7 linked regions of the Cricetulus griseus genome follow. The protein of the gene in region 2 purifies or fractionates together with the protein of the main gene of each other region. This does not show direct contact. Links are inferred from orthologs where the notes say so. Each region holds a gene or a part of one and is shown on either strand. Other genes may lie near its edges. The genes, in order: Erbb2, heat shock protein HSP 90-beta, serine/threonine-protein phosphatase 5, Myh9, Ikbkb, Hspd1 and Cdk4.

Evidence for each region.
Region 1: the proteins of heat shock protein HSP 90-beta (region 2) and Erbb2 purify together in Homo sapiens (co-immunoprecipitation; 5 studies listed by BioGRID and IntAct, with this or other methods). This does not show direct contact. The link is inferred for Cricetulus griseus from reciprocal best matches to the Homo sapiens genes HSP90AB1 and ERBB2.
Region 3: the proteins of heat shock protein HSP 90-beta (region 2) and serine/threonine-protein phosphatase 5 purify together in Homo sapiens (affinity purification with mass spectrometry; 6 studies listed by BioGRID and IntAct, with this or other methods). This does not show direct contact. The link is inferred for Cricetulus griseus from reciprocal best matches to the Homo sapiens genes HSP90AB1 and PPP5C.
Region 4: the proteins of heat shock protein HSP 90-beta (region 2) and Myh9 purify together in Homo sapiens (affinity purification with mass spectrometry; 4 studies listed by BioGRID and IntAct, with this or other methods). This does not show direct contact. The link is inferred for Cricetulus griseus from reciprocal best matches to the Homo sapiens genes HSP90AB1 and MYH9.
Region 5: the proteins of heat shock protein HSP 90-beta (region 2) and Ikbkb purify together in Homo sapiens (affinity purification with western blotting; 3 studies listed by BioGRID and IntAct, with this or other methods). This does not show direct contact. The link is inferred for Cricetulus griseus from reciprocal best matches to the Homo sapiens genes HSP90AB1 and IKBKB.
Region 6: the proteins of heat shock protein HSP 90-beta (region 2) and Hspd1 fractionate together in Homo sapiens (co-fractionation; 3 studies listed by BioGRID). This does not show direct contact. The link is inferred for Cricetulus griseus from reciprocal best matches to the Homo sapiens genes HSP90AB1 and HSPD1.
Region 7: the proteins of heat shock protein HSP 90-beta (region 2) and Cdk4 purify together in Homo sapiens (affinity purification with mass spectrometry; 5 studies listed by BioGRID and IntAct, counting the BioPlex papers as one, with this or other methods). This does not show direct contact. The link is inferred for Cricetulus griseus from reciprocal best matches to the Homo sapiens genes HSP90AB1 and CDK4.

Annotation. Positions count from the first base shown.
Region 1 is NC_048600.1:111,535,497-111,540,034, reverse strand, and holds the start of Erbb2 (receptor tyrosine-protein kinase erbB-2), read right to left. Parts: upstream 2,989-4,538; 5' UTR 2,777-2,988; coding exon 2,704-2,776; intron 1-2,703. UniProt on the Homo sapiens protein: Protein tyrosine kinase that is part of several cell surface receptor complexes, but that apparently needs a coreceptor for ligand binding. Essential component of a neuregulin-receptor complex, although neuregulins do not interact with it alone.
Region 2 is NW_023276807.1:31,888,339-31,892,907, forward strand, and holds the start of heat shock protein HSP 90-beta, read right to left. Parts: upstream 3,153-4,569; 5' UTR 3,014-3,152; intron 1,779-3,013; coding exon 1,632-1,778; intron 1,516-1,631; coding exon 1,309-1,515; intron 1,084-1,308; coding exon 924-1,083; intron 519-923; coding exon 385-518; intron 303-384; coding exon 1-302. UniProt on the Homo sapiens protein: Molecular chaperone that promotes the maturation, structural maintenance and proper regulation of specific target proteins involved for instance in cell cycle control and signal transduction. Undergoes a functional cycle linked to its ATPase activity.
Region 3 is NC_048602.1:11,649,984-11,653,839, forward strand, and holds part of serine/threonine-protein phosphatase 5, read right to left. Parts: intron 1,028-3,856; coding exon 786-1,027; intron 1-785. UniProt on the Homo sapiens protein: Serine/threonine-protein phosphatase that dephosphorylates a myriad of proteins involved in different signaling pathways including the kinases CSNK1E, ASK1/MAP3K5, PRKDC and RAF1, the nuclear receptors NR3C1, PPARG, ESR1 and ESR2, SMAD proteins and TAU/MAPT.
Region 4 is NC_048595.1:374,865,612-374,868,174, reverse strand, and holds part of Myh9 (myosin-9), read left to right. Parts: intron 1-367; coding exon 368-496; intron 497-1,401; coding exon 1,402-1,490; intron 1,491-1,575; coding exon 1,576-1,699; intron 1,700-1,993; coding exon 1,994-2,202; intron 2,203-2,563. UniProt on the Homo sapiens protein: Cellular myosin that appears to play a role in cytokinesis, cell shape, and specialized functions such as secretion and capping. Required for cortical actin clearance prior to oocyte exocytosis. Promotes cell motility in conjunction with S100A4.
Region 5 is NW_023276807.1:60,985,722-60,990,090, reverse strand, and holds the start of Ikbkb (inhibitor of nuclear factor kappa-B kinase subunit beta), read right to left. Parts: upstream 3,122-4,369; 5' UTR 3,008-3,121; intron 2,736-3,007; 5' UTR 2,718-2,735; coding exon 2,613-2,717; intron 1-2,612.
Region 6 is NC_048595.1:409,526,559-409,531,164, forward strand, and holds the start of Hspd1 (60 kDa heat shock protein, mitochondrial), read right to left. Parts: upstream 2,928-4,606; 5' UTR 2,803-2,927; exon of another isoform or gene 2,722-2,802; intron 1,921-2,721; 5' UTR 1,919-1,920; coding exon 1,745-1,918; intron 226-1,744; coding exon 1-225. Other genes in the region: MOB-like protein phocein, read left to right, coding at 3,437-3,439, 4,072-4,236. UniProt on the Homo sapiens protein: Chaperonin implicated in mitochondrial protein import and macromolecular assembly. Together with Hsp10, facilitates the correct folding of imported proteins.
Region 7 is NW_023276806.1:130,641,148-130,645,439, forward strand, and holds the start of Cdk4 (cyclin-dependent kinase 4), read right to left. Parts: upstream 2,861-4,292; 5' UTR 2,703-2,860; intron 2,248-2,702; 5' UTR 2,228-2,247; coding exon 2,010-2,227; intron 1,866-2,009; coding exon 1,730-1,865; intron 1,624-1,729; coding exon 1,456-1,623; intron 1,304-1,455; coding exon 1,194-1,303; intron 668-1,193; coding exon 617-667; intron 303-616; coding exon 167-302; intron 1-166.

The sequences.
Region 1 (4,538 bases), on a different chromosome or scaffold from region 2:
CTATCCCTGGCACTGCTGAGGACCCAAGAGAAAAGCTAGCATGGGCTGGAAAGGAGCTAACTCTGCAGCCAGGAAGGATTCTTGGGCCCCCAGCTCAGGGCACCTTCTCCAGCCTGGGTTAGGGGCTGGAAAGGCCGTACTGAGTAACAGACTAGCACTTCTTCCCTGTGTGGCTGGCTGCCTGGCTGCCCCAAGGCTCTTCTTACTCATCCCTGGTTGATGCCTAGAACTCTGACCACCTCTTAATGCCCCTGATAAGTCTCTTCGTGTCTCTGAGGTTCATTTTCCCCATATGCCCACCCACTTTACAGGACAGGACAGAGAGGGAACAGAGCCGTCTATGGAAAGGGATCTGCCATACAGGAAGCACACAGAAGTTTTTAGAAGGTGAGAGAGAAGCATATAGCAGGTTCTGAGTAATTACAGCTCAGGAAAAAGGAGAAAGCCTTTTCATTTGACTTTGAAATGCATTTTTTTTCTTTTTCTTGTTAAGGTTTATTTTATTTGATGTGTATGAGCATTTTGCCTGTCCTTGTATATACACTATACACATGCCCGGTACTTATGGAGGTTAAAATTAAGCATCAGATCTCCTAAAACTGGAGCTATAAGGCTGTGAGCCACCAAGTGGGTGCTGGGAATGGAGCCCATGTCCTCTGCAAGAGGGATCTATTGAGTCCCCCTATAGCAAAAAGGGGGAAGGGTTTGGAGAGAACCAACAGGAACAAACCCTGCAAGGTCCCCTGCACTTCTCAAAACCTAGAGCCCTGAGGATCCCAGTAACATCTTGCCCCTCTGGGCCTTCCCCAGATCTCCTTTCCCCTACACACCTGCCCTACATCATCAGTTCTGGGGTATAATCTGGAGCTAGAGGCAGCTGGATGGTGCTCTGCCTTTTAAACCATTCCTGGCAAGTCAGTGTCTTGTCCTCTGCACCCAGCAGTGCACCTGGAGGAATGAGACTCAGCCCCACCCCCACCCCATCTGGAGAACTGACCCCTCAGGCTCCCGCTCCACAGCGCAAGGCCACTCCTGGCCAACTCCACTCCCAGGCTCAGGTGAACGATGCCCTCCTGAGAAACTGAAAAGAGCCCTCATCCTCAGCCAGGCAAGGGGCATCTCCCACTGTTTACAGCAGATATAGCCTAGTACCTTGAGGGAGTTCCTGGAGAGGGCAGAGTTCATCTCGTGTCCCCAAGTCAGCAGAGAGATTGCTGTTTGGCAGCATAAACATACAACCATCATAAACACCTCAGACACACAGGGGTACCCCCCCCGAAGCACAGCAGTGTACTGACTCTGGGGGGCTCTGGGAGTACACACAGATGATGATACCCCACCAGTCTCTAGGCTCCCTGGCCGCTGGAGAGCATCCATGGCTCCCAAGAACCTGCTTTCTATGTCTTCCCTGATTCAGGAAGCAGTGCCCCATTGTTCCAGGTAGATTCGTATTATGATTTCAAATATGTGACTGGGAGTCACACTGCCTGGGCTCCACCACTTCTTGGATGACACTTCATTTCTCCAGCCCATGTTTTCACCCTGGGACAATGAGAAGGCTAACTAGTATTTCTACTGTGGAGTTGTTCTCAGGACTGAAGAAGGAATGCATGCAAACCGCCACCCACGGAGCCTGGCAGAGCAGACCCACACCGAGTGTGTATCAGCTTTTACTCTTAGGGTAGAAATGGACATATGGGTTAGTACACACTGGGGGCGGGTCACCCTCCCAGCCCCCAACACGAAGACAGAGGCAAGCGAACAAGCCAGTTCTCTGTCTACCCGTAGCTGGCCTTCTTTTCCATGCCTTCCCCTTAAAATGCCCAGGAACCCTTCCCACTTTACCAAATGAAAGCCGGGAAACACACGACCACCCTTCAAGATCCAGCTTTCCCAGAGTCCCAAAGCACACAGTACTTAGGCTGGCTCTAAAGAAATTTGTTCAAAACAGAACTGTGGAGAGAGCAGCCCAAGTGGTAGTAGAGATCTTGCCTAGCACGCCCCCAACTGGGGTGTGGGGGTGCAGTAGAGGGTGTTCCAGCACAGAAAAAGAAAAGAAAAAAAAAAAAAAACTTGTGCAAAACAAATAATTACCCCGCTCCGTCCCCTCCACACCCCAGACACCGTGGAGCAGCAACTCAACTGCGGACCCGCCACTCGGTCCTCCCTGCTCAACAGGACCGGTTACTTTCCCCACCGCCCCCTCCTCCGCGACCCCGCAGGAAGCTGGAGTAACTTACTAAACCCAAAGGGCCGGAGGGGGGTGGGGAGGGGGAGGGGCAGGGCAGAGGGGACCCCGAAGGCATCCTGCCCAGTCCAGTCCGGAGGCGGAGGCTGCCAACTGGAAGAGCTTTGAGAAAGCGTGAGGGGGCTCGGAAGGGGGGGAAACACGCGCACGCACGCACAGCGCTCCGCACACCCTCGGGAGGAAAACTTTCAGAGAACTTTCCCCGAGGAGTTCCCGGAGCCTCTCTGCCCGGGAAGCGCCGCTGTGGCCGGCGGAGGCCGGTCCCGACCTCCAGTGTGGTCCTCCCAGTGACTGCCCCATCCCCAGCTGCTCCGATCCCCTCCGGGCCGCGGCGCCCGCAGCCGAGATCCCCCATCGTCCCGGACCGCCCGGTTGTAGAGCTCCCGGGGCCCCGGGGTCCCGGCCGCCCGTGGGCGCAGCCGCAGCGGCCCGCGTCCTCCCCATGCCAGACCCACCTTGGGTGCCCGAGGCTCCGGGGGACAGGAGGGCGAGGAGGAGCCCCCAGCCACACCAGGCCGCCAGCTCCATGGTGTTCACTGCGGCTCCAGCCCCATGGCTCAGGCTGGACCAGGCTGCGAGCACGGGGCGCGGCGAGGGCAGGCACAGGCGCGGCGCCGGAAGGGGCCGCCGGGGAAGGGGCGCTCCTGGTCTCTGGGTCCCCAGCGGCGGGCAATCTCAGCTCCACAACTTCACGCCGCACTTCCTCGAGCAGCCCTCCTCCTCCTCCACCTCCTCCGCCGCCCGTGATTGGGAGCCGGGCGCTCCCGGCTCGCCCCCCCCACCTCTCCAACTGCATTCCAGCAAGGCTGGGAGTGGCTGCTCTCAGCTTCACTTTCTCCCTCCCGGCGCAGGCCTGGGTGCGTCGCGCCCTGTGCCCCGACGCTTGGCTAACTTGCTGCAGTTCTCACCCATTTACTAAAAGCAGAGCATCCTTTTACCCCTCTTTGCAGTCTCGGGTTTTATCTTGAACTTTCCTGGGACCTTTGCATCTAACTCCATCACACCCTTAATGTCAAATAAATGGGTCTACCCCTACATCCTTCAGGTAGAATCCACAGTCTGGGAAGAGGGTGTGCTATGTCTAATTGGTGACTTCCAGGACGCTCTGGAATGTCAGTTTCATCCTTTTGGGTATCTCCAGCCAGATCTTACAGGGACCCACAGAACTAGAAGGAGACAAGTCATATCGGGGGACCTCTGTTCATCCTTGGAAGAACAGCTATCCTTGTTTCCTTTTTAATTTTTTTCTAAGACTTATTTTTATTTCAAATTATGCGTGTTCGCGCTTTGGGGTGGTGGGTGGGGAGGGGTCATATAAGTGCAGTTGTCAACAGAGGTCAGAAGAGGCGTGGGAATCCTCTGAAGCTGGAATTGCAGGCAGTTGTGTGCAGCCCACGTTGGTGCTGGGAACTGAACTCCAGTCCTCTGCTGAGAGCAACACAAGTTCTTAACCGCCTAGCCACCTCTCAAGCCCCATCCCCGTTTCTTTGTAAGTTCACCCAGTACATAGTTCGTTCAGTGTCTCCTCTGTCCCTGTCCTTTTCTCTAGCCAGTTTACCCCTGAAGTACCTAGACTCCGCCTCTGAGGCCTGGTGACAGTTGGGAAGGGGAAAGAAAGGCGTGTTTTTTGTTGGAAATTCCAAGAACACTGTGCAGGAGACATGTTTACACTAACAAATTACCCGTTGTTTGTCTGAAATTCAAAGTGAACTCGAATAGTTACTTTTTATTTGCTAACATCTAATGATGTTAGTTGGAATGGTCCAGTCAAGAACACACCTGTGCTGGTCAAGAGGCAATCAGGCAAATGGAGGCATCAGCCAGAAGTGAGAAATGAAAGACAGTGGCCTCTGGTTCTCACACTAGGAACCAGGGAACAAGGACTCTCAGATTGAAATGAGTGCAGATCTTTAATCTGTCACATACTGGCTGTGTGACCTTGGGCTAGTGACTAACCATCTCTGTGTCTTGGTTTACAAATCTGTAAGATCTAGCATACTGAGCTGAGGGCTAAAGGAGAAAACATTATAGAAGTACTCAGCATAATAATTGCTCACTACACAGTCTCAGATTTAGCAATTCTGGAGCAGATGCGATGTTTGTGGGGATCAATTTGAAGTACAAAGTTATTAGATCAAAACAAACCATGTGTACGAAAACAAACAGCCTGAAACTTATTCACCTTACCGAAATAGACCAGCATGCCAGAGACAAAGATTTGGTTTGGCTTGGTTTTGCCTGAGAAAGATCTCATTCTGTAGACTAGCATGAAATTCAATATATAGAGGAG
Region 2 (4,569 bases):
GCCAAGTGGTCCTCCCAATCATTGGTGAGGCTCTTATAGAATTCACCATATTCTTCTTGAGTGATGTCATCAGGGTTTCTGGTCCAAATGGGCTTAGTCTTATTCAACTCTTCCTGATCAATGTATTTTTCCTTAATCTTCTTTGTTTTCTTTTTCTTATCTTTGCCACTGTCATCTTCCTCATCTGATCCCACATCTTCAATCTTTGGCTTTTCCTCATCATCCTTATCTTCTTCCTCTTTCTCACCCTTCTCTTCTTCTGCCTCATCATCACTGATCTCCTTCTCTCGTTCCTTCTCCAACTAAATTACCAAATTGGATAATGAGTTGTGGAGAACTTATCACCAGCAAAGACTGCTCAAATACTGCCAAGTCCATACTCACATAGAGGGTGATGGGATAGCCTATGAACTGCGAGTGTTTCTTCACCACTTCCTTGACCCTCCTCTCCTCTAAGTACTCTGTCTGGTCTTCTTTGAGATGAAGGATGACTTTGGTACCCCGGCCAATGGGCTCACCTATAAAAAAGTGAATGATAGAATCAAGACATAGAAAACTACAACTAAGCTGGGCGGTGGGGTGGTGCACGCCTTTAATCCTGGCAGGAGGATCTCTGAGTTCAAGACCAGCCTGGTCTACAAGAGCTAGTTCCAGGACAGCCTCCAAAGCCACAGGAAAAACCCTGTCTCAAAAAACCACAATGAAGAAAAAAAAAACAAACAAAAAAACTACAACCAAAATACTCAACCCCCTGCTCCCCATTTTGACACAGGGCTTCTATGTAGCCCAGGCTGTCCTAAAACAAGAGATCCATCTGCCTCTGCCTCCAAAGTGCTGAGATTAAACAGTGCATGATCAAGACTTTGGACTTTCTATCCTCCAGAGAATTCTACCAAGCATCCAAACGAGGACAGGCAGCTTACCATGGTCTGCACGCACTGTGAAGGATCCACCAGCAGAGGACTCCCAAGCATACTGCTCGTCATCATTGTGCTTTGTGATCACAACCACTTTCTCTGCCACGAGATAGGCAGAGTAGAATCCAACACCAAACTGCCCAATCATGGATATGTCTGCACCAGCCTGCCAAAGGATTTTAAAAGTTAAGAGGTAAGTAAAATGGTTCTGCACAAGTGCTTGCTGAACTCAAGTGTAACTATCAAGTAGTTCAATCCCTGGGACCTACTGGCCAGTAATCCTCTGATCTCCATAGGTTAAAAGCCTACCATATCACTAGTGAAAACAAGTACTGAAAAATTAACAAGTCAAAAGCAGTATTGAGAATGTTGTGGATATAGGGCCACACACCTGGAGAGCCTCCATGAAAGCCTTTGTGCCAGACTTAGCAATGGTTCCCAAGTTATTTATGAGATCAGCTTTGGTCATGCCAATGCCCGTGTCCACCAAAGTCAGCGTGCGCTCCTGAGGGTTGGGGATGATGTCAATCTTCAGCTCTTTGCCGCTGTCCAATTTGGAAGGGTCTGTCAGGCTCTCATAGCGAATCTTGTCCAAGGCCTGTAAATAAACACACAGCCACATTATTCCATTTCTGCAAACATTGTCTTGGCTCTCAACCCACGGCAGACTCCTCTCAATCCCTCACTGGGCTTCTATGAAGCTGTGATACTCACATCAGAAGCATTGGAGATCAATTCTCGAAGGAAAATCTCCTTGTTTGAGTAGAAAGTATTTATGATCAAGGACATGAGCTGGGCGATTTCTGCCTGGAAGGCAAAGGTCTCCACCTCTTCCTCGCCATGGTGCACCTCCTCAGGCATCTAAGAAAGCATTACACATTAATTACTAAAACGATGGATGCACTTTAAACTCCAATTCAAAATGCTTTAAGCTGAGTAGTATCCATTCCCAAGGGATGAGAACCGCCATTTTTAAAAAGACCTTGAAAAGCTACAGTAAGCTGGTAAACCGAAAACGGAAAAAACTCAAAGGATGGATGGTTCTTCAAACAAACGCAGCCAAAACGGTATACTACAGCTCAAACAGGCTCAACCCGACAACATACCTTGTTAAAATTCAAGAAATGATAATTCGTTAGCTACCCGGTGAACATATACAGGAAACCCTTTACAACTTTATTTGGGCAAAAAAGAAACTAACAGAAACAGCAGCCATTTCTATGTGCCGCTCCATCCTAGCAGGAGCAGGGAACCCGAGGCTGCAGTCATGGAGGCACTCAAGGAGCAATTAAACCAGGACAAAGAGGTAAAAGCTCCACCATGACCTCTCTCACTGCGCAGACTTGCATAGCCCTGAACACAAGTAAAATGGTGGCCCGAGCCTTCCAGCGACCCTCGTCACTGCCGGACACGCGTCGGCGGCAGCCATCGGGGAGGGGGCGCCACCGCAACCCTCCCACTGCCCCAGCATCCGGGCACTGGGGCGGGGCACCAGGAGCTTCCAGAACAATCTGAGCTCCAGGGCGGGGAGGAGTAGGGGAGGGGTAGGGGAGGGACCAATGGATCTTCCCGTGCCAGCCCCCTCCGGGTTCCTCCTCCTCCTTCCCCGGAGCGCAGGAAAGATCTGGAAAGGCAAATGGCAGTGCGCTCAAGCGTCCCTGCCACCCCGTGGACGACCCCCACGCCCAAGAACCCCAACCACGTTGGGAAAGGCGTCCAAAGGAGGCGGCCAGGCCAGCCTCACAGGGCCGTGCTGAGTCACGCCGCGGAGCCCGCCACCGCGCGGCCCCTTCGGACCCTGCAGCTGCGCCCGGAAGTGGAGGGCAAACATGGCAGCGTCCCAGGTCGGCGCCTACCACGTGCGGCTGCCTTGCACACAGCTGGGCCGCGCCCCCACCTCACGCGCCGGGGCCCCAACCCGGGGCCCCAAGGAGCCTCGCCGAGCCACCCCGCGGGGCCAGACGCAAGCAGCTCGGGGTACACCAGCCCACAGGCCGCCCGGCTGGGCGGGGACCTTCTAGGACGGATGCGAATGGGGGGGGAGAGCCCGGGGAACGAGCCCCGGGAAGCCGCAGGGCCGGAGGCCGCGGCCTTACCTTGACAGGAAAGCCGAGTAGTAGTACAGGGCCGGGTGGGCTCGGAGCGCGACCGACTCGCACGCGGAGGTTAGTGTGCGCGGGGGTGACTCAAGAGAGCTCCCAGACGCCCCCGACCGCCCTATATAAGGCGAAGCACAGCTCGGCCCCGCCCTTGGATCCCTCCGCCTCAGGGGGCGGGGCCGCCGCCCGCACCTGCCGCCGCCCGCCCACCTTGACGTCATGGTAGCAACTGGGGGCGGGAGGGGGGGCGACCCGGGGCCTGTGCGGCGAGCCGAGGCCTCTCCTGCACGACCAGGACAAGGCCATGGCAAGATGAGGGCCACGGGGTGCGCTTATGCTGCTAGGGATGTGTCCACGCGCGGATATCCCGCCGACTCCCCCAGAAACCTCGAGGCAGGCGCCTCCACCCCCGACTCGCAAGAGCACCGAGATGGCTAACTCGGCTGCCGTTCTCTGAGCCCACCTCCCAGAGTGTTCCCTACATGGAGAGAGCAGGACAGTGGGACATTCGCTGTCCAGCTGGAGGGGGTCCCGATGCCCACCCTCCGGAACGGGGCCGCAGCTGCAGGCGGCGAGCAGCTGCTCGGGCGGGAGGGGCGCGGGCCTGGGCTGCCAGGGACTCTTTGGCGGCGCGCGGCGGAAGGAGCAACGCCGGCGGTACTGCGATTTCTTCCAGCAGTTTCTAGGGCTGTCTCGGCGGTCTCAACCCCTCCCCCCGAGGCTCCACCTCCCCCCGCTGCGGCGGGGGCAGCCGCTCGGCTAGGCGCTACCTACTGCCCGGCTCTTAATGCCGAACTGTGTCCCCCCCCCCAATGCTCCTACTGTGCGCTATGGTTAGACGACCCCGGCCCTGGGAGCCCCACATTGCTGCGGGGGGGGGCGGGGGTGGAACGCGGGATGGCGCCCAGAGAGAGGGATGGCTGACCTGGATCGGTCGCAGGGCACGTGATCTGCGGGGGTGAGTGACTGCGGACACCTTTCTGTGAACAGACCGGGGACCCCACACTGATGGGTGGGACACTCCCCACCCCCCAGCCTCCGAGGTGGCCCACGGACAAGGCGCACGGGGCCGTGCGCCCTCCCTTTGCGAGCACTGCAAGCTGCTTCTCAAGCTGGTTTCCCTTTTTCTAGCACTCTTGCCTCCTGCAGCTCTTTGGACCTAGGGAGAGGGAGATCTCCATCTTATCAGATTAGCGGGAGCTCTAGGCAGCTGCGTGAAGATGCTAGTCACGGGTTGGCCCAGTTCCAGGTGCCAGAACCAAATTGCGCTAGTACCTCCGCCCTGCCTTCCCACTGGGCTGTCTGTCCAGGCCTCGCCTGTCCGTCTAGCCTTGCCATTTTCCAAGGCCGCCTCTGGAAGCGAGTTGGGCTGATGAGCCCACCAGGAGAGAATGGCCACTCCGTGCTCTGTAAATGTTCCTCTCCTTTCTTTGCCGGCTCTGGCCAAGGTCTCCGACGCCACCGCCCACACCTTCCTTCCTAGTGCGTGCATGCAGCCCATCTTCCCCAATGTGCTTTCATTGTTTAGCAGTGGTTGCCTTCCCATTTTCCTT
Region 3 (3,856 bases), on a different chromosome or scaffold from region 2:
GAGGAGAGATGCAGTCAAGGACTGCATACAGAGTCCTCACCTGTATGACAGGAGCAATCTCCTATTCTCTGGGTGGCACTTCACAGAGCCACTGACTCTGTGAAGGGCACAGAGCACACCTGTCCCAAGTGGATGTCCTGGCAGTCCCTGCTACCGCCATCAAGGCTGTCATGTCAGAGCACATCAGCAGTAGGCAGTGGTGGATGAGGAAATGTCATCCAGGTCCCTTCTCTCATGTCCACAGGGGAACGTGTCCCTGGAGGCTGTCTGTCCCTCCACATGTGTCACCCTGCTCTACTTTCTCGGAACCGCTACTCTCTGCCTACAGTCATTTCCCTTGCCTAGTCAGTGACACATGGCTCCCACCTGCCAGATTCTCAAGCTATCAAAGGTTTGTTCGGTCCTTGCCAGTAACTGCTACCATTACTAATCACCACCACTATCAACAGTCGCAGCAGTCACAAGGCTGAGCTACCAGCGACCACAGACTACGTGCCTGCATGGCTCCAAGCATGCACACAGTAGAAACTCTCCTGCAGCCACCCGAGGCTGGGCCTGTCCTCAACACGCTGAGGGCACAGGAAGGCAGAGAAGCCAGGTGATTTGTCCAGGGTCATAGAGAGCACGATGGCCGAGAGGTAGAATCCGAGAGCCTAGAGTCCTCACGGCATCTGGGTGAGCCTTTGAAAAGAGGAGACACAGAACAGCTCCTCCCCGTCCCTGGTGTTCCCCCCTCCACCTGGCTAGGGTACCGGGAGCTGGCCCGTGCCCGAGGCCCGGCTCACCGTCTCGTAGTCACGTAGGGCAGCTCGGAACTTGCCCAGTGCCATGTTGCTGGCCGCCCGTCGGTAGTAGCCTTTGATGTACTTCTTGTCAAGCTCGATGGCCCGAGTGGCATCGCCCAGGGCATAGCCGTAGCACTCGGTGCGCAGGTAGGCCAGGCTGCGGTTGCCATAGTAGATAGCATTGTTGGGGTTCAAATCGATGGCCTGACTGTAGTACTTGATGGCGTTCTCGTAGTCCTTGGCTGTGGAGGAGAAGGAGGCATGAAGCCCTGTTGCCACAGGTAGGGGGGATCCACCCTAGACTGACGGTCCTTGTTACAAAAGGGAAGACTAGGGCTGGAGAGACGGCTCAGTGGTTGAGAGCACTGGCGCTTCTCCCAGCAGACCTGGGTTCGGTTCCCAGCACCCACACGGCAACTCACGGCTGTCTGTAACTCCAAGATCCGACACCCTCACACAGACATGCACGCAAGCAAAACACCAATGCACATAAAGTAAATAAATAAATATATATTTAACAAGAGAAGATTGGGGTTCAGTATGGACTCTGTCCCTCCTCCCTGTCCCCAATGTCTGACCATAGCCCAGGTTTTGAGGCTCAGGTCACAGTCTCCAGAACCTGAATCAATCCACACATCGGCCCAGCAAAGTCCAGGCTGGGCGCTACTTCCTTCAGGGCTCCAAGTCTCCCCATGATCAGAGGGGCACGTCAGGGAGTGCCAGCACTTCCATCTAAGCCAGGCAAACTGAGACAGTCCGAGCCTGTGGCTGTCCAGATGCCCAGAGTAAGCAGACAGGTCCAGAGATGGGGAGAGCGGGAGGATGAAGGGAGGGAGCTCTTTAGGCTGCGAGGAGGAGCTACAGCAGGTGTGGAGGGCGACCAGCTGGCGCAGGAGGGCAAGCGCTGGGGGAGGGACAAGGGTAACTCCCCTCCAAGGGTAAAAGGTCAGACTCTATGGGAACTGAGGAGCACAGCTGGGCCCTGGGCTCTCCATCAACCTGTGGGACCCTCCTGTCCCCACAGCATAAGCAACATCTGGTGCTCACCTGACACAAACCACAGAGGCCTAGTTCAAGGTCAGAGCCCCAGTCTGTACTGGCAGAGGTTAGGCCTGACCCCTCCTCCCGAGAGGTCGTTACACAAACAGCAGAACTAGGGCCTCGGGCTGCTCTGAGAGACCTGCCCAGGCTGGGAGACCGCAATGTACCCGAGGCCACACAGCACCCCAGGACACATGGATCTTCAAGGAACCGGAGGGAGAAAGCCACATTAGCCCATCTCCTGATGAGGGTTGCTCAAGCTCAGAGAGGGAAGGAAAGCCTGCGCTTGGGGTCACATGGCAAGTGGCAGATGGGAATTCTGAGGCAGGTAGAAATGGCAAGGCCTCTATCCTACCTCCACGTGCCCTGGTGGGAGCCTGACACAGCACCCGGCTCAGACAATGGGAAGCCGGCCCAGCTCTGGTTTTTCAGGCTGGGTGTACTTGGACAACTTCAATACCCTCTCTGTACTTGAGTTTCAACCTGGAGTGGGGTTACTGCCCTGACCCCACCTCACCGTTCTCAGAGTACTCAGGGACTGTTTGCTGAACCCTCAACACCGTGAGGAAGGTGTCTGTCACCCTTCCTAGAGCTCAGGACTGATCTGGGGACACAGCCTTGCCCTCCAGGGACTGCTGGTGTATCAAGGAGAGAGATCTATCTGATCCCAGATAACAGTGACAAAGTGCTCTGGGCTCAGACAGCCTAAGGGCCTGATCCAAGACATGGGAGAGGGATGTGAGCAGAGGCGGCTCCATGAATGGGGAAGGAAGCACTTGGCCAAGGGAGGAGAGGGTTGGGGGTTGGGGGACAGGGAGAGACCAAGACCAGAGGCAGTACAGCTGGTCCTGGGGGTGCAGCTCAGCAGTCCTTCCTGGACTTCTGTCACGAAGTCCAAATGTCCCCTCTCAGGAAGCTCCACTTGACCTCCGGTCTGGGTGAGGCACCACCCTGCCTCCACCTTCCCTGCCCCAGTTCTGCCACTCTGGTTGTCTCCTAGGCCCATGAGCCCCAAGAAGGCAGGACCTAGAACTTCCCAGAAGCCACGAAGGCAGGAAGGTGCAGATGGCGGCACAGTTTAGAGGGCCCCTCCCAGGAATGTCAGTGCCTCTGAGGGCTTCCTTGGCATCCTGGCTGGGCTCCAGAGGCTGCTGGTTAGTACTCAGGTGGATAGGTGGGACTTCACCAAGTGGCAGAGAGTGTGTAGCCTGACACCCGGTGGTGCAGATTCCAACACAAAAGTGCAGACAGAGAGCCTCTTGCTGGAGCCTCAGCCCCTCAGACCACTTGTCCGCACCTGAGAACCAGGCTGCACTTGGCCTCACACACTGCCAAATGGAGGAGGGAAGGAACAGTACACACAAGGGACAGGAGGCCCCCACCTTGAAGGCTTCCACCGGCTGTCACACTCCAGCCAGGGGCCATCCTGCAGCTGCGGCAGTACAACCCTCCAGGTATAGTCTTCCTTCACAGAGGAGTGCCCTGAACCACCATGCAGTCCTTCCCCTACCACAACCCTTAGATCATGAAGACCCATAGGTGAGAACAGCCTCCTTCCTCAGGAAGAACGGGAAAGAGCAGAGGCTTGCTTCCTTTGGACTGACACTGAGCCGGGGACCGGGTTCTATCCCCAGAACCTTTACAGTAGGGCTGAGCTCTCAGAGGAACCCTCTGTGGTTGGGGATGGGCCTTCTGAGTCCCCGAGACACCCCCTTCCTTCACAGAGTACCCCTTTCTCCCCACTGAGGCCAGATGAGTCCAACAAGGAGAGCTGAGCACGTGGAGAGAGAGGAAGGAAGGGGATATCCGCCTCCTGCTCACACACTCTGACCTTGGGCAAGAAGTTTCACTCTGAGTCGGCTTCGGCTTCCTCTATAAACCTAAACCGCCACCCCCATGCCCCAGGCAGGTTCGGCTCAGGAGTACCTGGCCACCACAGGGGTGCAATGAAAGCAGCAGCAATTATTCTCTTTATTGGTATTCTTGTAGTATGAGCCTGGGGTTGTGCTTGCCACTGCCTGTCCACAGCA
Region 4 (2,563 bases), on a different chromosome or scaffold from region 2:
GATTGGGAACAGATGTCAGGAGGATGACAGAGGGGACTGAGTTTTCTGCCTTGTAGTTCTTTAACCTGGCTTGAAGCATGCCTACTGTCTTGTCCCTGAGACCACCTGGTCAGTGACTGTGTGTCATGGCTGCCACAGTCAAAAGAAAGTATAAGAAGTAAGGAGGACAGTTTGCACTGTATCCAGGGGTCATTGCTGTTAAGAAATGCTGTGTAAGTCCTTGGAGGAGGATCCAGGTGCAGAGCCACTTGCCTTTGGTTACTTTTCTGCCTGTTTATAAAGAGGTTGGCCAAAATGGTCCCAGGCTCAGAGAGGTCCCCACGGGTGTGAAGTAGGTGGAGACGCCAGACTCTCTTGCTGCACACAGGCCCAGATGAAGGACTGCATGCGGGAGCTGGATGACACGCGCGCCTCCCGAGAGGAGATCCTGGCGCAGGCCAAGGAGAATGAGAAGAAGTTCAAGAGCATGGAGGCTGAGATGATTCAGCTGCAGGAGGTGGGCCAGCTGTGGGGCACGGGGCTTCTGCCTCCTGGCCAGCAGGGGGCAGCCTGGGGCCTTTTCCTGTTAGTAGGCCTCAGCCCAGAAGGGAAGGGCAGAAAAGCTGAGCTACCTCCTGGCAGGAGTTAATGGGAGGGGTCCTTCCAGGGCTCATGCCCTAGCCACACAGTTGGCATGGCATGGTGTATGCGTTCATGCTCATGAACATGTGTAATGGGGACAAGGATGAGACTCAGTACTCCCCACCTTTTAAAAGAAAATGTGACTGCTTAGTCCCCAGTCCATCCCATGAAGCGGTGTGTTGATTATAAGCTTACAGCGATTGCACATGGCAAGGAGGGTCCTGAGTGCCCCCTGGGCTGCTGCTTTGGTGACACATGAAGCACATGGTGGGGACAGGTGGGGTGGTGGACTTCCCACAAAGTGCCACCGCCGGCTTATGAAATGCTTGGTCAGACCCTCTGCTCTGGCATGGTTCTTCTCTTCTACTGGGTGTAGGATAACTCCCTCCATTGTCACCGTCATGCGTGGTGCTCTGGAGGTTTCTACAGTCTGTCTGCTGCCCTTAGTGGCAGAGTCCTGGACTCTAACCTGCACTCAAGCCTGCTTCATTAATCATCTCAGTATCTGGTCTGACCATATGCAGGGGACCAGTACTGCAGGTCTGTCCACACAAGCTGTCCCTGTTAGGCCTGGGTGGTTCCTGTTTATAGCCCTGGCTCCTGGCTTGGCTCCAAGTACTTAGGCATAGGGGCTTTATAAACACATGCCTAAAGGTGCCTCGGGCTGGAATTGACCCTGTGAGCTAGAGGAACAGAGGTATGTGCTGAGGGCCAGAGAGGACATGCGGCGCTGAAGGCTGTGTTGGTCCCAGTCATTTATGTTCTTGGTCCTTGTGGCAGGAATTGGCAGCTGCTGAGCGTGCTAAGCGCCAGGCCCAACAGGAACGGGACGAGCTGGCTGACGAGATCGCCAACAGCAGTGGCAAAGGGTGAGCCAGAGGGAGGAAGCACAAGCAAGGGTGTCTGAGGGCCTCCCCAGTTACCCAAGCCCTCACGTCTCTGGGTCCTCTCCAGGGCACTCGCGTTGGAGGAGAAGCGGCGCCTAGAGGCCCGCATTGCCCAGCTGGAGGAGGAGCTGGAGGAGGAGCAGGGTAACACAGAGCTGATCAACGACCGGCTGAAGAAGGCCAACCTGCAGGTGAGCATCGTGGTGGCCGCTGACCCTGCATACTGGGATCAAGACTCTTTGCCTGAGCTCCCTGTGGTCCAGCAGACCATGGCGGGCAGAAATAGGATGGATGAGTGTCCACTGTTCTCACAATGCCTCTGACCCGTGGCTTCAAGACCAGGCTTCAGAAGTTTCTGGGTCCTGTTCATGAGTAGATTCCTCTCTGAGAGAGCTGGGGTGTTCTTTGGTTCTGATGTCTGAGGAGAGGGTCCATGCAGCTGGGCCCCAGCCCTCCCTTGAGGTCACCGTACTGCCTTCTTGCAGATTGACCAGATAAACACCGACCTGAACCTGGAGCGCAGTCATGCTCAGAAGAACGAGAATGCGCGGCAGCAGCTCGAACGCCAGAACAAGGAGCTCAAGGCCAAGCTGCAGGAGATGGAGAGTGCTGTCAAGTCCAAATACAAGGCCTCCATTGCTGCCTTGGAGGCCAAGATTGCACAGCTGGAGGAACAGCTGGACAATGAGACCAAGTAGGTACCCCACCCAAACTGAGGGCAGTCAGTGCCGGTCGGGTCAGGAATGAGCTCTGTCTTCCAGGCTTCACAAGCAGTCTTCATTTGTTCTGAGAAGTATGGAGTTTGGGTGGGAACCCATAGCCCACACCCAGAACTGGGAGCTTTGTGGGCTGTTCTAGTGAGAGACCCTGCCTAGCTGTCTTGGGGCTCAGAACTGAGACTTGGAAGTAATGAGGACCATGCTGGGTCCCAAGCCTCAGATTCTCCATAGGCTGGCTCCTTCACTGGTCTCATGGGTCAGCCCAGGTCCCATCCTGAGATGGCAGCTACTGGGTGTCCGGAAAAGACACCTCCAGAGGTGTCCAGAAAAGATTAG
Region 5 (4,369 bases), about 29 Mb from region 2:
GACAATGCAATATTTGCAAAGAATCGGAGGTTCTGCCTCATGTCTTTCCAGTCAGGGTGAGAATCCATAATGCACACCAGACGCTGAGACCAAAATCTAAGAATGTGACAGTCAGAATCCCAACCAAGTTGTGTGACTGAGAATGTGACTCCTTCCTCTGCCTACCCTCAAAAGGAGTTGCTGGCTGAGGTACCTTGAGTTGGATCTTTTTCCTCTGTGTATATATCTCAAGGTCTACTGAAAACATTAGCTTACCTGAACTACAAACAGTTTGTGCTAGGCCGTGAGCTGGAGATTTAGGGGTGTTCCTATGCAGCAAAGACTGGCAAGCCCACACTGTGTGGGGGAATCAAGAGCCAAGAGAACTGGAGCAGGGTCACTGCTACACTGCTCTTTTTCACTGAGGAATACAGATTTAGGTATCCCTTCATTTCTCCTTAGTGCCTCAAAATGGCTTGGGTAGACTATAAAGAAACAAACAGGACCTCCAAAATAACTGGGAATGTGTTAGGCATGTCCTAAACTCTAGTTCCAACCTGGAGAAGCCACCGTGGCATATATCATCTGGATCCAAATAGATGTACATGTTGACAGTATATCCTCTTTCTGAACATTAACTAACTCCCCAGTGCTTCTGTTTCTTGGGCTACAAAATGGAAATTAGAGTTGTCGACCCCAGAAGTGAATTATGTAAGATAAGGGTGGTTCACAGCTCAGGGCAATGCCAAACAAAAGCTGCACAGGAGACACCTAGCCTGATGCTGGCATGCAACAGGCTTACAGCAATGACCCTGGTTCTTAGGCAGCACTTCTCCTGTGATAGCTACATCCATTCTCTTGCTTATAGACAGGAGAAAGCACAGGAAATAGCAAGAACATGTGAAGCCAAGCATACTACCACATCTAGCTGCATTTTTCAAGAGGCTTGGGACAGAGGTACATCCACTAGAAAGCACACTGTACCTTTTGATCTCAGATATGGATTAAAGATTGTTTCTGCACATCCAAAGCAGCCCCCTGGCTTTCCCGGAGGATTAGCCCATGAAGATGGTGGAGGAATTCAGACTAAGCAAACGGGTTCTTCAGTCAGCACCACTTCAATCGAACTCCATCCCAACTCTGACCCCAATACCCTCCTATCCTATCCAAGTCCTGCTCATTTTACCCCTAAACAGCTCTTAAATCTGCCCACTTCTTCCTATCGCCACCATCAGTCAGGCTAGTCTCTCACCTAGACTACTCAAGACTTTAATTACAGCTATTTAGGAAGGACTGATTCCCTAGAAGGGTAGTTTCTAATTTTGGTTGTTTCTCAAGTGATGCCCAATACTAGAATCCAAAATAAAATAAAATAAAATAAAATAAAATAAAAGCACCTCCCAGGTCTATCAGAAGGTCCTGTAACTGGCCAGGTAGAAATGAAGATACAAATGAAAGAGACAATTTCAAATGTTGCACCCCAAAGATGGGGATTCCCCAGGAATTTCATGTTGGGAAAGGAGAAACCACCATCCAGAAGGGGAATTTGTCTTCTGAAGAAAGATTTGTTGACAAATTCTCAGAAAATCTTACAGGGTGACAAAAAAACGGGTCAGTGGTAAGCTGGACCACTGGACTGCTGTGATGCACATATCCATGGCCTTCTATTTAAACCTTAATCTCATTTAGGATCCTGAAGATGGACTTGGGAGGTTTGCTGGGTCTCTGTTCCTCCTCTCAATGTGACTACACTGACCCAATCTTCTGCTCTCCGATATTACATTAACTCTTAATGGGCTTATTGAGGATGGGTAGCAGTACCTGGCTTAGGGCACAGGCTGTGACCCCCAAGTTAGTCAGTTAGTTGCACATCGTATCTGGTACTCAGCAACCCTGAGGAAAGTGATCTACAGCAGAAGGATGGATGGAGCTACAGGAATATTACAGGTGCCACGAACTTTTTAGGCATTACCATAAACTCATTATCCAAATTGCATAAAATAACTCTCACACAGTAAACGGGTGACTTAAAGGGAGTCCCTCAAAGAATTCAGTGTTCTTAAACCACCAGCCCAAACCAAAACCTCTGGAAGAACAAAAACTTGTAACACAAGAAACTCGACTCAGACACATAAAGACCAAAATAATGAGAATATGATCAGCTCAAAAGAGAAATCAAGCCACTCACCATCCTACCCTCTGCACTTTTTCACCCATTATCCTTAACTCCTTGTCTTTTGTGCAGTTCGGTATTACAAAAGACTCCGGGTTTATCAACTATTTAAAAATATTTTAAAATTTAAAAGTTATTTAAAATATCTTTATTGCTCTCATCTTTTTAACACGGTCTGTATTCTGTGACATTCACCGGTATGCAATGCATTACATGCTAGTTTAATATTAGTCTAACACTTAGAATGACAGCTTTTTTTCCACCTTATTTAAGTGGCAGGGTTAACAAGGTTTTTAAGAGTCAGTTTAGCAGCTCTCACACCCCCCTCCCTTGCAGTCCCCCTTTCTTACTCTCCTTTTAGATCATGCTAAGACTAGGCGGGAGTTCACCGATTTGCACCGGCCTTGGCATTAGCAGCACCAAGAAAGTCCACCTGCTCTCCCCGGGGCCAGAGCCCTACCTGATTGTGCCATCGGATGACGTTTCCAAATCCCCCAGTCCCAAGTCGTTCTTTCATTTCCCAAACCCCACATGTCTGGGTTGGGAGGGACGGTGACCAGCTCATATCGATGCCCGGCTAACTCTGGAAGCAAGAGGAAGAGAAGACAAGTTCAGAGTAACGAAACAATGGAGCTCGAGAAGCAGGGGGAGGCAGTAGCGACTGCTGCCCTTCAAGGTAAGGAAGGGGAGCAGACTCAGAGGGTTTAGTTAATAAATAAAAGTTGCCGCGGCCCGGCCCGTTGGCGGTCCTGGTCCTCACTGCTAGCAGCCACCACCGCAGACCCCGGGAAGAGGCGGGGCACGCGTCCACGCGGGCCTTCCACGCGCAGCGAACGGCCCTCGCGTGGGACTCACCTGCCCCAGGGGCCGCGGGGCCGCCAGCGATACCCACAGAGGGCATGAAAACTTAGGGTCCCCACGCAGCCAGCCCAGAGCCACTTCCTCAAACACTTCCTGCCCTGACGTCACGGGAATTTGGCGGCTCTTAAAGGAGACGTGCGAGCCGCTCGCTGAGATGCAGCCACAGCCCGCAGGCGGGTTCTGGACTTGGCGGCGTAGAGACTGCTTTACCCTAGGCTTTTCGAGTTGAGTTTCATCGAACAAGCTAGGCAGTTAACGAGGGTCGGGAGAATCTGCTAAGTGGCTACTAGGACTGTAATACGAATTGCCTTCCTGTGCTCCCACTGCCATTCATCGAATCTGAATGCTCCTGGTTCAGTGCTAAGAATGAAAAACAGACACTGACACTCCTCAGAAAGTAACACACTCCCATCCCCCACCCCACCCCCCCAAAAGAGGAGGAAGAGTACAAAAACAAAGCAAAACAAAAACAAAAAACTGTGTCTACCTAAGCTGGAGTTGCAGTATTAGGTCAAGAACCAGGACACTCTCTCCTACCTGCCTCTCCCCTACCCCCAACAGGTCACATTCAGCCACTCACCCTCCATGGCCTAATTCACGACACAACTAACACTGAAAAGCCGAAAAAGAGAGAGAAAAGACAGAAAGAGGCCCAATCACTCCCACCCATGCCTCTGCGAACCCAGGTCCAATACTGGGGTCCTAACATAAGGTTTGGGTTTAAATGGAAGGCTAGAGGCATACATAACTAAGCAGCCCTGCTCAAGGTGTGTTCTGGTCCACCATCATTGTCTAGACTTCAATCTCTCCTGTATGGTTACATTTGTCAGAACTGCTTGAAAAGTTTTTGCCGAGACAAGCTTCTCTTATGTCTGGCATGAGGCTTTTGACTTACTGGCCCTTTATACCAGCATGGGCAGCCACCAGCAAGATTAACTCTCAGTGGATTGATGGATATGCCAAAGGTCTTCGTTGGATATCCAGGGGACTCTAAGCATTTGAACTCAAGAGTAGTGCAAATAAAGAACTTCTCACTCCTTTATTATTAAAGCAAGCAAAACAGTGAGCTCAGGCAAATACAAGGGCAGAGAGATCCACAATCAAGCACAAGGCTGAGCTTCCAAATCCAAAGACAGGGAGAAGGGAATGCATGAGCAAGGGAGGTCAAGATCATGACGGAGAAATCTAGAGACAGCTGAACCAAGTTTGTGGAAACTAATGAGCTCTAGGCAGAGAGCTGTGGAGACTCCATGGATCCAAACTAGGCCCCCTGTTTGTGGGAGACAATTGTGAAGCTTGGACTAGCTGGGAGGTCCCTGGCAGTAGGACCACAATACAAACCTGGTATATGAACTG
Region 6 (4,606 bases), on a different chromosome or scaffold from region 2:
TTTGCTGATCTTCTCAAAGCCTTCCTTGGCAATAGAACGTGCCAGAACAGTAGCAGTGGTAGTGCCATCCCCAGCCTCTTCATTTGTGTTATTGGCAACATCTTGAACAAGTTTAGCTCCGATATTTTTGTATTTATCCTTTAGATCAATTGCCTTTGCAACAGTGACCCCATCTTTTGTTACTTTGGGACTTCCCCAACTCTGTTCAATAATCACTGTTCTTCCCTACAATGACAGAATAACAACCCTCAACCATAAACTTCAAAGTTGTCACTTTTAACAGTCCTGAAACGTGAATCTCAAAGGTCAAGTTAATCAACATTCTTAGGTCTATAGACAAAAGGAACTCTGAGGTACAACAGTAGATAACATCCCCCACCCACCCAAAGAGATGCCACCTATTAAACAAGATAGCACAGGTGACAATCACCAATCCTGGAACACCCTTCCATCACTTGTACACGAGTTTTGGTTATGAACTGTTATTACTTTTTTATTAACTGTTGCTTTTAAGTACAATTTACTTGAACATCCATTCACTAAATATCAGCCAGTAAGTTTGTTCTTAACTTACTGTTTCCTGCTCATGCAATTCAAAACTTCAAAACTGACACCAACAGTATTGGCAACTTGGATTTGAACCAAGCTATTCTGTCTTGACCTATATAAACAGCACTTTACGAAGCTCTTTAGATGGCTTTAACGTCAATTTAAAGCAACTGTGCCCCACATCCAATTATGTCCTCAAAGTACTATGGCTCCTTATTCAACCACACAGATGAGTGACTCCAGCCTTGGATCTCAGCAATGATTCAAGGTTCAAGCTTGCTTGGTCCACAGGAGTTCCAGGTCAGCTATGGCTAAAGACCCTGTCTCAATAAACACCAGATGAATAGTATACTAAACTGTTACATACCTGGGACAATCAGTTCAAGGATAGTCTTGGTACAAAGCGAGTTAGAGGTCTGACTAAGCTATCGAGACTCTTAAAAACCCCAAACCAAACTTTTGGAATGTGGAAATGGCAGAGAAATCATGAGGTATGCACAATGGAGGGATAAATGGGAGACCAGATAGCCTTTTCCATGTGCAAGTGAAAACGGTTCTGGAGATGTGTGATGGTGAGTTACAGAACAATGCAAACGAAGTCACAAATATTAACTTAGGCTGGACAGATGCCACAGTGGTTAGGACCCAGGTTCAATTCCCAGCACCCACATAGCAACTCACAATTGTAACTCCAGTTCTGGGATCTTCACATGGGTATACACGCAGACAGTACACCAATGCACATAAAAATATAAATAAATCTAAACTCTATGCTATCGCATCTACTGTATGCATACTGTAATACTTCAGTACAGTTAAGTAAAACCTCACATCTACAATTACACTCTGAGGTGTTACTAGTCTTGAGCTGTCCTTTCCCCTCTATACCCTCTAACTCCTGGGAAAGGATCCAAAATTTAATGCAAGCATTCACACAAGATTAATTACGCCTAAAGTTTGAAAATCCTCCTTGAGCTATTACTACTCTATTACATCATGTTGCACAAAAGTCCCCCAAATCGGCTGCAGCAGTATTAAGGCCACCAACTAACGAAACTCCTAAATAACACCCCCAAATCACTTAACATGTACTACACTCAAATTAGATTTTCATAAAACTTGTTAACAAATACTGTCTAATTTGCAGCTACAGAATACTATTCTTTTATTAACACGATTTAAAGTATACTGATACCTTTGGCCCCATTGTAACAGCTACAGCATCCGCTAAAAGGTCTACACCTTGAAGCATTAAGGCTCGAGCATCTGCACCAAATTTTACATCTTTGGCATAGGCCCGAGTGAGATGAGGAGCCAGCGCCCGGGACACTGGTCTCATCTGGCGAAGGACTGTGGGTAGTCGAAGCATTTCTGGGAGAGGGGGGGAAAAAAAAAAGCAAAGGATCACTACTAGTTACGGACAAACTTGTCCACCTGTGCTTCAGAACATGGAGGCTAGCTAGACTGGAGCTTGGCAGTCCTCTGCTAACCGCCACGCCTGGGCCACACACGGCGCTGCAGCTTCAGGACATCAATTGCTAGCAACGGATTAAGGAGGCCGCCCCCATGCTCGCTTGACCTGCAGCCCTAGCACACAAAACCATTCCCCATGGCCACCCACTCCTGCCACCGCGAGTTAATCTTTCACTGGCAAAGCGGCCTTAGGAACAGATCCACTCCAAAAGTGTGTGTGGGGGGGGCAAAAAAATCAAGCTGGCGTAAGCGAGGCAGGTTCCAAATGCAAGAGCACAGGGAACTATACAAGTACTCATGACGGTGCAAAACCCCGCTCAGGAAAAGTGACGCCAGGTGTCCACCCGGAGCTACGGTAGCACAGCAACTAGCAAGGCCGCAAAACCCAGGACCGCAGCTCAGCCCATTCGCGCGGCCCCACGTGTCTGCCCGACAAGGAGCCCCAGGCAAGGTCAAAGTAGAGGCGCCGCATCCCCGCAGCCAGAGGGGACGAGAAGGGACCGCGACCACCCTCCGACAAGAGTCCTGCAGTGCGCCAGGCGCAGGTGGCACCAGAGGGCCCAAGTGGCTCCCACCCTAGCCCGTCCTCGCTCCCGCGCTTGGCCTGGGTCGCGTGGTCCCCGCCGCACGTGATGAAACCCGCGTGGCCCCGTCGGGCCTGGACAGGCCGGCAGAGCCTGCGGCGTCGCTGCCAGCCTTGTCCCCTAGCCCGCCATGCTCGGGCCCAGCCGGAAGCAGGCCGGCGAGCTCCCGGGCGCCATGCACGTCGAGGCCGTGTACCTGCGGGGCGGCGGCGGGAGGGCACGAGGCGAAGCAGGCCGTCGGCGGCGAGTGAGGGACCGAGCGCAGAGCGCGCACCGCAATGAGTCCGAGTCCCCTCCCTCCGCGGCCCCGCCCCGCGGCCCCGCGTGCGCGCGCGCCCCGCTCCCTCCCACGCCCGGGCCCTGCAATCAGCATGCGGCGCGGGTGGCCCCGCCCCCCCCGTACCCGAGCGGTCTCAGCCCCGCGGGCTCAACCCTCTCCCGCCGCCCTACGCTGGTTCCTGGGCCTCGCTCCGTTCTAGAACCTTCCGGAAGGGCGCTGCGCCTCCCGTGGGTCAAGGGTCAGGTGGCGTCATTTCCGGGAGGAGGACGAAGGGCTCGTTCTTTCACCTCAGCGGGCCGCCTGGAAAAGCCTAGAAAGCGCGCCCCTTTTCTTCCGCCTCCGGCTGCCCCCTTCGGCGGCCTGCGCGGAGTCCTCGCCACCAATCGGCGCGCGCGCTGCCGTGGCCGCCCTCTCTCACGCTCGCGGGGGGGGGCCGCGTGCGCCTGCGCCTGCGCGCTGCGTGGCTTTTTCACGTGTCCCGAGCCGGACCTCAGGACTCTCCTTGCAGCGGCGGCCCGAGTGCAGAGTCCGAGCGGCGGCGGCGCGAGTCATGGTGAGTGTCCCTGGGCTGGCAGGCCTGCCTGCGGGTCGGGGTCCCCCGCGACCCACGGTGTCCCCCCCTGTGTGCCGGTTTAGCACCGGCAGGGCAGGGGGCCACGCAGTGTTCGGCGCCCGCCCGGGTTCCGCAGGAGCGAGGCCTGTCCGATGCGGTTCTCCACCACGGCCTCTTTGCACGCACGTGTGCTGCAGGAGCCCGGGGTAGGGGGCGGGAACCCGGATGCACACTCAGTAGCCCACCTGCCCTGCCAGGGCTTTCATGGACGTATACTGTGTTGGAGAATATATGACCCAGCTCAAAAATTGATACTCTCTCCCCGGCGTTACTAGAATTAAAAAAAGAAATCTAAAGAAGGAAAACGTTTGACCTTGGAGGAGACCAAGGTTGTGGTTAAAGGTAGTGTGGGTGCTGATGGGCAATGAAGACACCCCCCCACCCACCCACACGCACTAAAATATACAGGGTATGAAACATCCAAGAATATTTTCTAAAGGCACACCTAGATTTTTCTTGTCAGTTTGGGACGTTTGACCCGTTATAGGTTAAGGCATGCAGCGGTATTAACTGTTCGTGGTCTGACGCTGCGAACGCAATGACAGTCCGTTTGAACACGTTTCTCTCCGCAGGCTGGACAAGCTTTCAAAAAGTTTCTACCGCTCTTTGACAGAGTATTGGTTGAAAGGAGTGCCGCCGAAACTGTGACCAAAGGTGGCATTATGCTTCCAGAAAAGTCTCAAGGAAAAGTATTGCAAGCAACAGTAGTGGCTGTGGGATCAGGCTCGAAAGGAAAGGTAACTGGGAGCTACTACAGCAGTACTGAGTCTTATATGTGATATGGAAGGAAAGGAGTAGAAAATCCTAGATTACCAAGTGGCTTTTAAAATAGTAGATGTCTTTTTTTGAAATAATTTAACTTCACAAAGAACCGCGCATGAAGGAAAACCATTGTGGAGTTGTTTTATTTTTCTAAGGAATGGAGAGGCATTCTATAAAAAAAGGCAAAATGTACACATGAGAAGTGTGTGTGTGTGTGTGTGTGTGTGTGTGTGTGTAAGACATTGTATGTGCATGTCTGCTGGTTTGCAGAGTTGTTTCCAGCCCTCAGTATGTTTGGGTTACTGCCTTTTTACTAGTGTTGAGATTCCCTAAATTGGGTTCCAG
Region 7 (4,292 bases), on a different chromosome or scaffold from region 2:
GCTTCCAGGGAATTCTATCTCCACCACCCATTTGGTATTAAGAGACACTATAGAAGCTCACTGACACATAGCTTTTACTCGAGTTCTGGGGATTCAAACTCAGGTCCTTACACTTATGCCCTAAAAGCTTTATCACAGAGCCACCTCCCTGGCCCATGCCCACTACCAGCAGCAGCTGTGCTCCAGATTCCTCCATCTCCGGTACCACCGACTGCACAGGCCGCGGCCCTCTGGGGGAAAAGGCTCCTCGGGGAAGAGATACCTCTCGAGGCCAGTCATCTTCTGGGGGCAATCCAATGAGACTGTAGGGATAACACAAATCTGGTCAGGGGGGCTTTTTCCAGTTTCCATCTCCAGGGCCAACTGCCATTTGGAATTGAGCAGAAACTGAATTAAGAATGGGGAATTTTAGCCGGGCGGTGGTGACTCATGCCTTTAATCCCAGCACTTGGGAGGCAGAGGCAGGCGGATCTCTGTGAGTTTGAGATCTTGTAGACCAGCCTGGTCTACAAGAGCTAGTTCCAGGACAGCCTCCAAAGCCACAGAGAAACCCTGCCTCGAAAAAAACAAACAAAAAGGGGGGGGGGGATTTCTTTCCCCTTTATTGGACACTTACTCAAAGATTTTGCCCAACTGGTCAGCTTCAGAGTTTCCACAGAAGAGAGGCCTAAGGTAGAAAAATATTCCAAGTATATATTATTTCAGAAATAAGGGAATGATAATCAAAGTGGCTGAGATTAGAGAGGACGGAGAATAAGGGAACACAAAGTTCCTAATTCCTAGACATTTCAGGAAATTTGCCTGCATCGTTTCTGGTTTTAGGCAAGTTGGTGAACATAAACAGGATAGGTTGGGACTATAGCTGGGTGGCAGGGCACGCGCCTGATAAATACAAGAGCCTAGGTTGGGGCGTCCAGTGCCATATGCACAAAAATGGTCAAGAACGGGTATGTCTTGTAAAAAGACCCAGGGGCGGGGAGTGTAGTTTAGTGGTATAGAGCATTTGCCCAGTGTATGTGCAGTTCTGATTTCAACCTCTAACACCATAAGTAACATCAAAAGATTTGTGTAACTGAAGGGACCTAAGAGTTCCACACCCTGAGCCAGGTGGTGGCGGCAGGCGGATCTCCGAGGGAGTCACAGGACAGCCAGGGCTACCCTGTCTTAAAAAACAAAAGTTTCAAGCCCCGTACTTTCGACGAAACATCTCTGCAAAGATACAGCCAACGCTCCACATGTCCACGGGTGTTGCGTATGTAGACTGCAGAAGAACTTCAGGAGCACGGTACCAGAGTGTAACAACCTAAACAGAAGAGGAGAAACGAGTGAGAGTCCTTTTCATGGCTCATAGCTGCTGGGCTTTGAGAACGTCAAGCACAACACACCTCAGCTGCTACGGGAAATCAAGTACTACCTAAAGCCGAATCCCATTGGGGCTGCCATCTTTCCACTCACCACAGGTGTGAGGGCCATCTGGTAGCTGTAGATTCTGGCCAGGCCAAAGTCAGCCAGCTTGACTGTCCCATTACTAGTCACCAGAATGTTCTCCGGTTTCAGGTCTCGGTGAACAATGCAATTTGCATGAAGAAAATCCAGGCCGCTTAGAAACTGTCGCATCAGGTCCTGGTTTTGAAGGAGAAAGCCCCGGACACCATGTAACACGCTCAAAAACCCCAAGAGTCCCTACTACAAAGACCCGGATCCACCTCTCACCGAGCAGCCCGCTCACCTTGATGGTCTCAACTGGCAAGCCTGGTGGGGGTGCTTTATCCAGGTATGTCCTCAGATCCTGATCTATATGCTCAAACACGAGAGTGACCTTGATGTCTCGATCAGTTCGGGAGGTAGCACAGACATCCATTAGCCTGACAAAAATAAACAGTCGCCAGCCGGTCAATGTCCTTTGTTCCAACGTGGCCTCTGGAGTCCTAGGGTCCCACTCCCGACGACCACACCCCTGGCTTACAGATCCCATTCTTTCCTCCCCACTCCCAATCCAACCTCCTCACCGTACAACATTGGGGTGCTCGAAGGCCTCCAACCGCCTCAGTAAGGCCACCTCGCGTACAGTGCTGATGGGAAGGCCCCCTCCAGCTCCCCCTCCGTTGGGAACTCGCACACTCTTGAGGGCCACAAAGTGGCCACTGTGGGGATCTCGGGCCTTGTATACCGTCCCATAGGCACCAACACCGATTTCAGCCACCGGTTCATAGCGGGAGGTAGCCATTCTCGGAGCAGGGAGATCTCCTACAATCACAGAGGCTTCTAAAACCAAGCCCTCCTTTCCTTCACAGCTAGGAGGGGGGATGACCCAGCAGTAACAAAGGAATTCCTGCCCACGACCGCACCGACACAGCCGCCCATCCCCTCCCTCCACGCTGCCAGAGTGCCGCGCCTCAGGTAACACAAAAGACTCTCCCACCGAGCCCTCCAGCCACGTGATGTCCCGGAGGGGCGAAAAAGAATGCATTCCTCCCGGGGAGGAGGAGGGGGGAGAACGGGACATCGCACCGGGCACAAAGAAGACCATCACAATGCACGGCGTTGGCATCGAAGGTTGCACACTTTATTCCCTAAAATCACACGCTGGCCGCGACCACAAAGGCCCCGCTTCCCGCCCTTGGGCCATCCTTCCACAACGAGGGGATCCATAGGGTGGTGGCGGGGCGCCGGGCCCCATCCCTGCAAGCGGCTGCACTCACCTCTCGCCCGGCCAAGAGCTGCGGAGGTGGCCCTTTATCTGGGCCCGGGAGCCGGTTCCTGCGGCGCCATACACCGGGGATCGGTCCCGGGCAGCTGGACGCTACGGGCCAGACCATAGACACGGGCCGCGAGCTAGAGAGGCCCCCCTCACCCCCACCCTCCCCATGTGACCAGCAGCCAGGGAGGCGCGCGGAAACCGGGGGGGGGGGGCGAACGCCGGACGTTCGCGGCGGACACGTGGTCTCCATCCATCCATCCATCCATCCATGCATGCGCAGTGGATGACCTGGGATGGGGGGGGCGAAACTCGCTCGGGCACGTGACCTGTTGCTATCCCACGTGACCCCTCAGCTCTGCGCTGGGAAGCAGAGGCGTGGCTACGCCGCCTACCACGTGACCCGCCGCCAGTCCCTGACTGCCGAGGGGGTGTGTGGGGGCGAGGGAGGGTGGAGCACCAGGCGGTGCCATGGCAACCGGGCCAGCCGGCTCTCAACTCTGGGCTCAAGGCCGAGCCTGTGCGCATCTCTCCGTCTCACTCCTTGTCTGGACGTGGGCGGGGAGGTCCGGGTGCTAGTGGGAGATCCTGGTACCAGAGATGGGACTGTCACATTTTTCACTCCAGCGCCATGGGGAAGGAGCATTCGTATACTGTGCCTTCGTTTTACTCATTCATTCAACAAAAATTTTACTAAGGGCTCCTTTCCAGTTGGTATGTGATGTTTTTGTTTTGGTGTCTCAGCCATTCGCCCTCTGAAGTAATGATGAGGGTATCTAATGTAGGCAAGTGTGGCCCCTTATGAAACAGGGAGTACGATTCCTATCCAAGAAGGAAACTAGGGCTAAAAGATGGACAGCAGGATTAATATACTCAGTCACTGTATGGGAAGAGTGGCAACGTAATGCCCTCCCCTCTTCCAACTTGCAAACCTCCCTGGGAATATTAAAAGCAGCAAGGAGTTATTGGAAACTCTGTTGTTTTGTTTTTTTTCGAGACAGGGTTTCTCTCTGTAGACCAGGCTGACCTCGAACTTACACAGATCTGCCTGCCTCTGTCTCCCAAGTGCTGGGATTCTGAGATTAAAGGCGTGCACCACTACGGCCCAACAGGGTGCCTGATCTTAAAAGGCTCTTAACACTAAGATTCTGTATTGTGTTACATATGTATGTAATTGTGCATATGAACAGACAAAACGGTGAGCGTGTACAAGGGCGGTCACCAACACCACTTCAGACCACCATGTTGCCCGAGAACGTCTTGTGTCCCTCTGCAAACATGCAACTCATCATTGGTGTCACATTCCTTTTTATTTCTAATGCAGCTTTCTTAGAGCTACTCTTGCCCTTATGGGCATTTCCCAAGTGGTCTGTGCCCACAGAAATCTAGGTAGACAGGTAGATTTGGCATTCGTTGTGTTGTGGGCTCCAACTCCTTTGTTGTCTCCCACCATTTGGGGAATAAAAGACCATGTACCCATCTGTGAGAAACTCTAAAATCTAGAGCTGTTTTAAAATTGTTTTTTAGCCAGGTGGCAATGGCTCACACCTTTAATCCCAGCACGGGATAGGCAGAAGCAGGCATCATGATCTCT